Regions from separate parts of the Mus musculus genome. Here all the other regions are reported to be linked to region 1. The links are microRNA targets in miRTarBase. Many come from high-throughput screens and were not tested one by one. Region 1 holds a microRNA gene; each other region holds the end of a gene's coding sequence.

What was found. Region 1 holds the annotated microRNA mmu-miR-410-3p (AAUAUAACACAGAUGGCCUGU, at 1,885-1,905, opposite strand). A microRNA usually pairs through its seed, bases 2 to 8, with sites in the 3' UTR of a target mRNA and lowers its output. Matches are read on the target gene's strand: a 7mer-m8 pairs with bases 2 to 8, a 7mer-A1 pairs with bases 2 to 7 and ends in A, and an 8mer does both.
Region 2: the mRNA of Pfkl is a reported target of mmu-miR-410-3p. Seed matches in the 3' UTR shown: 7mer-A1 at 606-612.
Region 3: miRTarBase lists Tet2 as a target of mmu-miR-410-3p. Seed matches in the 3' UTR shown: 8mer at 1,946-1,953 and 7mer-A1 at 1,676-1,682.

The regions. Positions count from the first base shown.
Region 1 is chr12:109,741,519-109,745,668 of GRCm38, reverse strand. Mir410 (microRNA 410) reads right to left here and starts at 1,954; the gene lies at 1,874-1,954. It overlaps Mirg (miRNA containing gene), which reads right to left. Exons shown (of 8, transcript NR_028265.1): 3 at 3,854-3,979; 4 at 3,379-3,607; 5 at 2,251-2,312; 6 at 1,822-2,003. It overlaps Mir541 (microRNA 541), which reads right to left and starts at 3,260; the gene lies at 3,171-3,260. It overlaps Mir409 (microRNA 409), which reads right to left and starts at 2,511; the gene lies at 2,433-2,511. It also overlaps Mir412 and Mir369.
Region 2 is chr10:77,984,417-77,988,416 of GRCm38, reverse strand. It overlaps Pfkl (phosphofructokinase, liver, B-type), which reads left to right. Exons shown (of 22, transcript NM_008826.5): 22 at 60-1,470. The coding sequence ends at 207. It overlaps Cfap410 (cilia and flagella associated protein 410), which reads right to left. Exons shown (of 7, transcript NM_026431.2): 7 at 2,979-3,998. The coding sequence ends at 3,870. It overlaps Gm51807 (a long non-coding RNA gene), which reads left to right and starts at 3,993. Exons shown (of 3, transcript XR_003949012.1): 1 at 3,993-4,000.
Region 3 is chr3:133,463,492-133,467,491 of GRCm38, forward strand. Tet2 (tet methylcytosine dioxygenase 2) reads right to left here. Exons shown (of 11, transcript NM_001040400.2): 11 at 186-4,000. The coding sequence ends at 3,246. Among named protein-coding and RNA genes, the nearest start is that of Tet2, 79 kb to the right of the region's middle.

The DNA.
Region 1 (4,150 bases):
TCTTTTCTTTTCTTTTCTCTTCTTCTTTTTTTTTTTTTTTTGTTTTGTTTTGTTTTGTTTTGTTTTGGTTGGGGTCAGGGAGAGGCTGGGAACCAAGGTACTAGGCAGTTTGGGAAAGCAGGCACCTGGGGAGCCATAGCTGACAAGCAGTCTGATGTCATATCACAAAGGAAGGAGCTGGATAAGAGTGTCAGGCTGCCTGCACTGTCACTGCAGAGCAGGGAACACGATCCCCTCCGAGTCTTGAACTCCTGTGGAGGGGGCCTACAAGCTTGAGGACCAAGGAAGGGGGATGGACTGTGGGAGACAGTAACCAGGACCAACTCCCAGAGAGAGGGCGCCTGGGCAGACCATCCTGAACAAGAGAAGAAATCTAAAGGAGACCATGTGCTAGGTACAAGCCAGGGTGCGCAGCCACTATCTCTGTTGGAAGAGCATTTTGCTGCTGAGGAGGCCCAGAAGAGGAGAAAAAGCATGCAGGGTGGAGTTGCCAGGGTGAGGGTGCTACTTGCTCCAATGGGGAGCAAGCCCAATCAGAAAGAGCTCTTTGCCACCCTGGGGAGCCTTACTAAATACCAAAAATCTATAGCCTGTCTTTCAAAGGCTCCTACTGGGTGTGATCAGGTACTTTCTGGGGTCCTTGAGACTCTAGGTCAAGCCTCTACAGTAAGCTCACAGGAGTCTGACAGAGCCAGAGTGTTAAGTTGGAGGAAACATGAAGAAGTGCAGGCTACATTGGACACGCAGACTTTGTGTGCCCCGGTACAGGGGAACGCCAGGGCCAAAGGGGGGGAGTGGGTGGGTAGGGGAGTGGGGGTGGGTGGGTAAGGGGGACTTTTGGTATAGCATTGGAAATGTAAATGAGCTAAATACCTAATAAAAAAAAAATGAAAAAAAAAAAAAAAATAAAAAAAAAAAAAAAAAAAAAGAAGTGCAGGCTAATCCCTACTGGGCCCCCTGTGCTCGTGAAGCAGGGACAGAGCTTGGGTATCACTGCCTTGTAGACTCAGGAGGACATTCTGTGCTATTTCCAACAGGGTGGCACTGAGGACAAGACAGGCCAAGGGATGGTCTCACATACAGACTAGAGAGTCAACCAACACAAAGGCTTCAGTTCTTGGCATCAATGCCTCAAAGTAGAAATGGTCTAGGGTAGGACATGGTGCAGAGAAGTAGGCTGTGGGATAGTCATCAGATAGAAAACAAACGTCTCAGAGACAAGCTAGCTCAGGTACCACCAGCACGGACTCTACTTAGGATGCTTCTTCCTCTAAGATGCCCTTCTGGACTTCCCAACCCCCACCTCAGGAGATGTGAGGCTCTGGGTCAGGATGAGTCAGCTACATGCCTGACCATCAGTGGTGTCCAGTGGGTCAGCAAAGTGTGTCCCTCCCCTGACACCCATGCTCACACAGTAAGAGCCAATGATAAAGAGAGGTGACCATGCACTGTACCAGCATTAAGAATGGAAACCCGTCACGGGCAATCTCACCTCAGATACTAGGAACTGCACGTGTAACCAACTGGCCTGGCTCTTCCCTAAGTATCATGCTAGCCCCTCCAAGCCCTCATGGTATTGAGAAGCACCCAGGGTACAGGGCATTTGAGCATGCAGCCCTCGGTGGAAGCCTTAGACAGGGACAAACACCCATTGTTGTGGCGGGAAAGAGGCATGGAAAGTGGACAGCCATCCATTGCACATCTGGCCAATGCTTCGTGGCCCAGCCTACAAGGTTGGTGCGATCCCAGGAGGCTCCTCAGAGCTGAGGTTCAGTGAAGAGGGGGTGACAAGCGTCATACAGAGTCCATGCATTTACCTACCGGGCAGTGGTGTGACACCTGGTATGTACTGCCGAGTGACCGGAGTGGCAGGTGGTATTGAAAACAGGCCATCTGTGTTATATTCGTCATTAATAAAGCGAACTCATCACAGACAACCTCTCCTCAAGTACCCAGTGTTGACCGCAGCAACCCTGGAGCTGGAATCACCACCTGAAGCTGTCCTGGGGGGAAGGGGGGGATTGCATATAAATGGTGAGTAGGGTTGACACAGGCAGCACACAGCCTGTTCCACCCAGCCCAGTTCCCCGCGGAGGCAGCAACCTAGAAGCACCATGCTGTCCCCACCCCCACAGGGGCTGCAACTCCAAGAGCTTCTCCAAGCTGAGCGTTGATACTGAGAAAAGATCAACCATGTATTATTCGAAGTCAGCCAAGCGAATATAACACGGTCGATCTCCCTTCAAGTACCAGCAGAGGTGTTGAGCTGAGGCTGTGACATCCTGGGCGCAGGCTGCAGCGGGCACCGACGGCTAGTGGACCAGGTGAAGTACATTAGAAACAATTACTTTCCAGCTGGTCGACCATCCGTCCCATACCCCAGAGCGAGATGAGTCCATGGTCTTCCCTGAGGTGGCCTCCCTGGAGGGATTTGATACCGAAAAGGGGTTCACCGAGCAACATTCGTCCTCCAGATGCAAAGTTGCTCGGGTAACCTCTCTCCGAGTACCACGGAGAGGCTCGGATGCTCAGAACGAGGCCGATGGCTGAGTTTCCAGAAGAACCATCCTGGAGCCCCTCAGAGATTATAACTCCCCATTCAGTGAGGAGCCACCCTCCACCACGTGAAAGCAATTATTCCATCACCTCCCCAGTGCAATCTACCACCCTTTCACCTTCCAAGAATATCTAAAGCCTTCCCAGACAACCTTGAGACCCAGGTAGCGAGGAGCTGACTCGGGGCAGAAGTGGGTGCAGAACTCTGCTTACTCTATCTCTCCTTTGTAAGCTGGAGATAGGGAGATGCTGAGACCCTGCGCATATACCACACCACCCTCCCAGAGACGATGCCTTCCAGAAGCGAGGAGGCAATGACTGCATCATCCAGAGATGCTCCTCCTTGGGCCCACCCAACCACTGCAGCCCCACGACCCTGGCATCCCCGCCCTGTCACCTGCCCCCTCCCCCCACGGTGATGTCATAGCAAGAACTGCTTGACCATCCAGTCCTATAAACCAAGCAAGTAATGCTTCAAAGATAAACATGGAGGGAGGAGAGAAAGAACAGCGGAAGGAGATCCCGCAGGGTCCCCTTGTGCCAGTGTGTATGGCTGCCCCGCACGAGCACGCCAGGGAGGGCTCTCCAGTAAGGGTCAGGATCCATTGACTTAGGCCATAAGCAGAGTATGGATTCTGTGTTCGCCACTCATTTTAAAACTCTTGGAGTGTGACCAACATCAGAATCCCTTCTCTGATTTTGGCAAGAGTTCACACAGGCTTCTAGCCTTGCTGCAGGGCAGCAAGAGACTGGTCACATGCAGTGTGTCATACGGGGAAAAGACGCCACGGGCAGCTTCATGTAGGTGTTCTGGAAACTGACCTGTGGGACAGAGGCTCTTTCCCCAGCTGGCATCACCTCCTGGAAATGCTCCTAAGAGGCACACAATGGCGATGATGGTGGCTAACGGTAGCTACAAGATCCAGTCAACAGTATGGGGAGGGAAGCTTGTCCAGGTTCTTCCTCCAAGCACTTGTCCTGGAGAGAGCTCCAGCCACTGACCAGTTCCAAGACAATGATGTAGCCTCTGGAGTCCTTTGAGGTAAAGATCCTTTTGGAAAGAGAGCCACCATGAAACCTGGTGCTCATCACACCCCAGATAGTATATTAGACCCTGGATACATCCACTCTAAAATGACCTCCCGTACGGGCCTAGCCCTTCAGCACCAACAATGGGTACGTCTTTAAGCCTAGCCCTGGGAGCTGGCAACATGGAAACCCAAGGAAGGGCAGGCCCTAGAATGTTCCAGGTACCAACTGCTCGGCAAGAGCAGACTCCCCAGAACCAGTGTCTTACCCGGAATGTTTCATGAGGATCGAGGAAAGTGAAGAAGACTGCTCAGTGGGCACGTGCTCTGGCACTGGTACCCAGTCACATCCTCCAGGTGACACCCGCCAGCTTCTGAATACTCCATGAAGCTCTCTGTAAAGGTTTGGGATGGGAAAATAAAGTTTAGCCACATTAAAAAAAAAAACCCACATGGTGACCAGTCCTTCTTATCACCCCACTAGCTCTAGTCTATATCCATAGATTTCCCCATCTCAAACACCACACCCACATTGATTTTCATAAAAAAACATGCATTTCTTTCCT
Region 2 (4,000 bases), not on the chromosome of region 1:
GGTTTAAGGGATCTCGGGATTCAGTTCTGTAACTAACTATCCAACCTTGACCTGCGCAGGCACCGCATGCCCCGGGAGCAGTGGTGGCTGAATCTGCGGCTGATGCTGAAGATGCTGGCACACTACCGCATCAGCATGGCAGACTATGTGTCTGGGGAGCTGGAGCACGTCACACGCCGCACCTTGAGCATAGACAAGGGTTTCTGAGCTTACTGTCACTACTGTTCCTGCGTTCCCGGACTCTCACCCTCCCAGTGCTAGCCACAGATCCCAGCACCGAGGGGAACTCAAGGGGAACTCGGAGCCCGTGGCTGGCTGAGGGATGTGGGGGTCTACTGTGCTGCTCTGGGGCTCTTCCCTTAGCCCTCCCCCCACCCCCAGGACAGAGAGCCTGTGGGGCCCCTACCTTCCAGTCAGACCCACATTGCCTCTCCCTCACTGGCCAGCTGGCTGCCTCACCACACGGCTGAAAAGAGCCTCACTTTTTTAGAAATAAAGTCACCTGTCTAGAGCATGGTCACTGGGACAACATGACCAGAGGAGTCCAGGGAGAGGGTTGTCAGGACTCAGGTGCAAACCTTACCCAAGGCTATAGTTTGTTTAATTTATATAAGTACACTGTAGCTGTCTTCAGACACACCATTAGAGGTCATCAGATCCCATTGCAGACCGTTGTGAGCCACCATGTGGTTGCTGGGATTTGAACTCAGGACCTCTGGAAGGGCAGTTGGTGATCTTAACCGCTGAGCCATCTCTCCAGTCCTGCCCACAGCTATTCTACAAGACTGGAATTTAGGGAACCCTCCCGGGAAGAGACTAGGGAGACCTGAGCCCTTAGAGAGCTACTGAGGCTCGTGTGAGCCCCATACCTGCCCTGGAATGGCTGGGGTATCGGCCTGTGGGCAATGTGCCCCGGTCTGGAGAGGAGACTGTCATTGTCAGTATAGTGTTCTTGGCTGATTGCTGCCCTTCAGGAGGTTCTTGAGGTCGGGACGTTGGCTCCTCAGAGAAGTTTATGAAGGGCTGAGCCCTGGCCAGCCCCACCTCAGATCCCTCTCTAAGCCCCTTATCAGGGTTTCTTACGTGAGCTGCTGCTGGGTCCATCCTCTACAGTGCCTGGATTTTTACAATATTTACAATAGGTGGAGGCTGTTTCTGGTTTCTCCGTGTATGGAGGTCAAGGGTTGTGACTTTGGCTCTGTGGACCTGCAGGCCGCATTGGGGCGGTGGTTTCCTTGGGTAGACGTCTCCCCCCATGGGTCACTGTAAGGCTTCTGTGGGGGTATTGCAGGCCATGTACCCAGCTGCTTCATCTGGCTGGAGCCCCCAAAGCTGCTGGGAGCAGAGTCCTGGAGTGTAAGTGTCATATCACAGCACCCTGGAGGGTTTGGTCTTGAGCACATGGCAACAAGGCCTGTATATTAGGGCTCTAGAGAAACAGAACCAATAGAATGTATATATACTGTAAAAGTGGGTTCGCCAGACTGGCTTACACAAATGGGCTTGGTAGCCTAATTGTCTTAGGGTTTTATTGCTGTGAATAGACGCCATGGCCACAGCAGCTCTTATAAAGGAGAACATTTCATTGGGGCTGACTTACAGTTTCAGAGGTTTAGCCCATTACCATCATGGTGGGAAGCATGGCGGCATGCAGGCAGATGTGGTGCTGGAGAGGTAGCTGACGGTTCTCCATCTGGATCTGCAGGCGCAGGAAAAGACAGTGAGCCACTAGGCCTGGCTCCTGAAACCTCAAAGCCCACCCCACAGTAGCAAGCTTCCTCCAACAAGGCCACACTTCCCAATAGTGTCACTCCCTATGGGCCTGTGAGGGCCATCTTTATCCAGACTTCACCAATAACAGCCATCTGCTGGCTGGGGAGGCTGAGAGCCCTGGAGCTGCTAAATTCACAGCAGCTCCATTCTAGTGCTGAGGGCCTGGAGGATCTTCACGCCACACTGGAAAGTCAGAGTTTGTGTCTGATGTCAGCAGAGGGTGGTAACAGCAGCAAGAAGGGCTGGCAGGCAGCACTGCCTTTTACTTGGAGCACCCAATATCTGGGCTGCCTGCTAGCGGAGGCAGTCCCTGGAGAGGGCCTTCCCCCTTTACTAAGCCTTCCTGGAATAGCCTCGTAGGCTACCGTAAGGCCTCTTAATAATTCTCCAGGTTAATTGACAGGCTCAGGTCTCTCAGGACTGCTGGGAGACACCTGTGCTTGTTCCAGAGTCACCATCAATGTCCATACCTGTTAGTGTGTTCTCCCTCCACCCCCAAAGCAGCGCAGGGCCTGGGGACATGGCAGGCTATAGTTGGACATCTGAAGATTAGAGCAGCACCTACCCAGCCGCTTGCTCAGTCTGGGCGTCTGCTACACAGGGGGTTCTGCAATGGGGAGGCATGAAGGGTGGGCCTGTGTGGCTCATTTTGTTCATGGCCAGGTGGAGTCGGGTCATTGTCATCAGCGTGGACTCAACTCTCAGTATGGAACCCCTGCTAGATTCAGGGTCTACCTGCTTGGCTGCAAGGTGGCTTTGGGCCCTGGTGATAGCAATGGCTTCAGGTACAGAGTAGCCATCTCTTTCCTCTCTTCTCTTGCACCACATCCACCCTTCCAGGGGGTTACACCTCCAGCCTTAGCTCTCCCCGCTGTGAGTTGGATGGGAGGGCACCAAACCCTTGAAAGGCCAATTCCTGTTCTGCTCAAGGGGCTGGATCTGGAAGATTCCAGATGTGGCTGAATGTCCCACGCTCGGCTCCAGGTAGGGATATGAGCTGTGCTTTAGCAGAGGCTGGGAGTGGGGATCAGGGATTGGGGGCTCGGTGCAGCTGGTAGTCTGCCCATCCCTGGGGTATATGTGAGTGTGCCACAGGAGGATGGAAAGCTAGGACGTTACAGGCATGGGGTGTGGTCCTGAGGGAACCTGCTGGGCATTTCCAGAATCTTACATCCTGGAACGAGGAAGTGGGCCTGGGACACAGACACTGGTAAAAACAGTTTATTAAGAGAGAAAGCACTCCCAGGTTTCGAAGTGGGCCAGCGGTGGAGCAAAGCCAAGGGCCCAGCTGCCCTGAACCTTCAGCATTAAGACCCTTACAGGTCATCTACAGAGCCAGCAGGCTTCTTTGGCATGTTCTACCTGTCCCTCTAAGGGCCCTTCTAGACTTTTTTTGCTTAGGTTGCTTTACATATGCTAATCTTGGGGCCTTTCCTGGCTCGTTCTCTTATGGCAGGTGTAAGGTCACCCCAAGGCACCAAGGTGGCCCTGCCTAGGTAAGCTACAGGGCCTCCCCCAATTAATGGCTCTAACGAAGACAACTTTACCAATGGCATCTGGCGCCTCAGAATGACGAGCAACAGTCACTCAGGTGACATCCCTCTCCTGAAGAAGAAAGAAAAAGGACAGTGTCCTGACCAGCCTTGTCCTGAAAAAACAAAAAATTCCATTCTCCCAGGCTATGTCTAAGGACAGCTGGGACACAGTGCCCCGTAAAGATATTCTAGGCATCTCCAAGGGTAGGCTTGATACAGTGATACTAGGGCTCCCCCTAGCGGCTGAGAAACAACATGAACCTCAACGTCAAGGCCCCGAGATGCTTCCTGTCCCAGACCTTCCAGCTCAAACAGAAAGTGCTTTATTGGAGGGTATGGCTCCTTCAGGCCTCCCTTGAGGAAGGGTCAGACAGTGCCCAGAGCTTTGGGCCTCAGCAGGTAAGTCCCAGGGACCATGCTGGTGGGCAGCATTTCTGCCAGCCCTCAGCACAGGAGAGGGGTCTGCTTTGCTGGCAGCCACTGGGCCTGCTTTGAAGGCTTTCCAGGTAGGGCTGTGTTTCCTCAGGATATAAAAGGGTCCAGATACTGGGGCGTCTGAAATCACTCCATGTCTTCCTGGGGCTCCGGCCTGTGCAGCGCCTGTAGCCGGCTGCCCACGGTCTGCTGGACAGTCTCCAGCCCCTCCGTATCCAGCTCCCGCAGCAGTAGCAATATGGCAGTCAGGATGTTCT
Region 3 (4,000 bases), not on the chromosome of region 1:
TGGTTATGTACAAAAGAAGTAGGCTGAAAGTGAGGAGATGGCATGGTGAGTAGATCTGACTGAGAACTTTAGATTTAGGTTACCATGTTTAAGAACTATGCAAAAAGTATCTTGTAAAACAACAACAAAATCGCTCCATTCCATTTTACCTCAATTATGGAACAAAAACCTCTGCAACAGAATACTTGAGTGCATTAAATAAATATAAATTTTATTAAAAACACTCACATGGCGTTATCAGGAATGATATAATAAACAGCTTTAAAATAAACTGCATTCATAACATTACAATACTTACAGTATTTATAACCACCCTCAGATTGTATAAACAAAGCCAAAATCTCAGGAAGTAAGCTACATTAAAAAATAAAGCATAGAAAAATGCACACAGAAGTTCATTATCTTAGTGTCAAACTGCAAAAAAACAAAAAACAAAACCAAAAAAAAAAAAAAAACCCTAACAAGTTAACCAAACTACCTTGTAAAGTGAACTATACATCACTGTGCGTCAATCAAGATGAAAAATTCATTCAAGTAATGTTGACACCAAGCAGAAGCACTTGTATCGAGTATGGCTATGTAGTCAAGCTGTTCCTATAGAAGCAAATCACAGATCTGCCTCCCACTTGATCTAATGGACAGAGGTGGGATGTCACTGCCTTCCTCCCTACACCACCCATCCTCTCAAACCACACTTACTACTCCTGTTGGCCAGCAGTTTGACAAATGACAGTGGGTGACATGTAAAGCAAATATTCCTTAGGGATGGCTGGCTCAAAAAAAAAAAAAAAAAATTGCCAAGCACACCTTGCAGGAACCTGATGTGGACTCAACATCATGGTTTGGAAACCTTGTGGTTTTTGTTTTTGTGTGTGTGTGTGTGTGTGTGTGTGTGTGCAAGGCAGACATTCTGAAAGTTTTTAGTGACAAATGTGACTGATGGTAAATTACAAAGGTCTCCACTGACGCAAAGCTATTTGCAAAGCTAGTAAGCAACACTGTATTTAGGCCACAATGTAACAACAGTCCTATTGCACAGCACACCACCAGCTTCTAGGACTGTCCAGCTGCAGTCCAAAGCTGTCCTCGTCACTAGATCAGAAGCCATTACCGGCGATGTCTTGTACCCCCCATCTCCCTCTGCCAGCTCAGGGCTTCCTATTTTACACTTTTTACTCTGCTGAATGCCAACTCTCCAAAATTTACAATTGAAAGGTGACAAAATTTATAAAATTAGTTTTCAGTTATCAGTACATATACAAGCAAACTACGAGGGATTGCAATCCTCTGAAAGCGAATATATTAACCGACAACTTTGCATAAACAGATGACATGTTAGCATAAGGAGAATGAGCTGAAATATCCCTGAATTTTTAGAACAAAAAGTTTGAGATTCAAGTTATACTTGCTAAGAAATCAAGTATTTAAAAATGGTATGTCTTAATACAAAGATTTAAAAAAAAAAAAAAAAAGAAAAATGGTGGTCTACAATGCTCTAAGCCTCCACTGTTAGCTCAGTATCCCATTGCCTAGCTAGTGTTGAGGTATGACGACAAGTAGGAACACCACTCCAACTTTGAATGGATTCTTAGCTCACATTAAGATCTATGTGGAGCAATCTGGGTAGCACCATCGTGATGTGAATTTTTCTTCAATCTCATATATTATATATATATATATAATATATATATACACATATGTATATATTTAATTTTTTACAGTACTAAAATACTAAAGCATTGCATTAAAAAAGGTTGTTTTACAATTTAATTTACTATACAACTCTTTTTTACCTTTTAATACAAATTAATGTTTAAAATCACCATAAACCAGCTGCCTATTCTCTTTCGGTTTTTGTTGGTTGCTCTGTAACCAGTAGAGTCCTATGGACTTAACCATGTCTTCTCAACTTCTGCGGGTTTCAGTCCACTCAACCTTCCTGGTATATATAACACTTAGCTAAGAAAAGACACCACAAAGCATGTAATGAACACAAAGGCAGCCTGCTGTTCTGAAGAACATACAGGTCTGTGTGTGGGACAACATGGACTTAAGTGGGCAAGCTTTGCTCTGTCTGCAGCACCAAGGCTAATTATCACCTGCAATTAACAGACGTTCTTAAGCTGTATACGCAGGAGGGATGAGCTTGCCCTACCACCGTTTTACAGGATAGCAAGTAAGGTGAGCACCAAAAACTGTTATTTGTTTTCTGTGGACTAGCATATCCATTCAGCTTCGGTTTGGATTGTAACAGGCCTGATACTGCTCATCAGCCGATAGTGGCTAAGAGCAAAGCAAATGTTTCCTTAAAAGGAAACAAAACAAAACCACTTTTAATCCTAAATGAAAGTAAACTTTTTTTTGTTTTGTTTTTATGTTTTAGTACCTTAGCATTGCCCAAGTTGCCAAAGCTTAGGTAGGCAAAGTGCTTTTCTAAGACACAACTTAAAATATTTCAGTACACATGTGTAAGTGTGCATATCTATACATTATAGTCCTACAAGGACATCGGTGGATAACTACAATCCAGAGGCCTTTGAAATGTCCACATTTTAAAAACTAAGCTGAATAATTAAGATAGAAATGTAAAATCAGAGGTACCCCAGTGCCTCCAGGGCCCTCGACCACACTGGCTAGATGATAGAAGGCATTGATTTTTCAGCTATTAAAAACACCATTTGTAGCACCATTTAATGTTAACACCCAAACAGATTCAGTGTTTTGCCATTATTCACTTAAGCTTTCTGTAGCTACTTTGATAAATAAGTTATTAAGATTACAGTAAAAAACCTGCATGTTAAAAAGTCTTAGTTCCAGTATTTCTTCAGTACATCATACGTCAGCACCAGATGATCCTGCAACTGCTCTACTACAGCGCTGTGTCCCACGGTTACACACGCTGAGTACTAGAAGCAGTTACGTGTAGAGTGCTGAGGGGCATGGCACACGCATGACCTCAGCCAATAAGAGAACCAGTGGTTTTCAAGACAAATGTCCAGCGCTTCCTTCCCACTGTGCCCTTGCATAGGATGCTCTTCCTGAATGCCACCATGGACCACGGGAGAGATTAAATATAATGATAAAATAAACTATTTTGCTGGTGAGCTGACAGCCCCCCCCCAATAAACATACACACAAACACACACTGCATTTGTCACAGATGCTGTGACCTGTCCCTACGGCCCATGCCATGAAAGACATACTGCTCACAGGTCGTCCTTGGTGGTCTGGCCTAATGGCCAGCGTCATACAAATGTGTTGTAAGGCCCTGTGACCTGAGTGAAAGCATATGGTGATGTAGTCACGGTAGAATCCGTAGTCACAGACCCTGTGTTCTCAGCAAGAGACTGGATGAAACGCAGGTAACTGGGTTCCTGTGGCCCTGTGGGCTCACGCTTTTCCTGTTTGCCATGATTTTTCTGAGACACGTGGTCTGATCCATTCTTTCCGCACTCTTCCTCTTTCCGGGCCTTTTCAGCCATTTTGGCTTCCCAGAGAGCCAAACAATGTTTTGGTAGAAACAAATTCTTATGCCTATACAGTACAAGTGAGATCCTGGTGGGGTGATTCCGGTCGGGATCGTTTACTTTGGTTGTGGCATGAACCTCACACTTTGCACACTCAATAAGAATTGACCCATGAGTTGGAGCTATAGCCACCCCTCCAATGCAAGGATCCTGAAAGTTGTGCTCACTATCTGACCAATACTCAATTTCCTGCACAGCAGCTGCATCCTGGCCTGACACCTCAGGCTGCTTCTCCTGACTGCTGCCAGTCAGACTGTATAATAGTTCTTGGGCAGAAGCAGTTCTATCATGATTAAACCCTGGAAGCACTCTTGAGAGCCCATTGGCTATGTTGTCATTCTCCTTGTTGTGGAAGGCGTGGCTGGAACTGCTCCCCGAAGCTGCTGCCGTGTAGCTGTAGATCGTGTGAGAGGGTAGATGATGCTCACTGGTTTTGTAGTCAGTGTGTGGGTGGCTGTATGGTGATCTGGAGG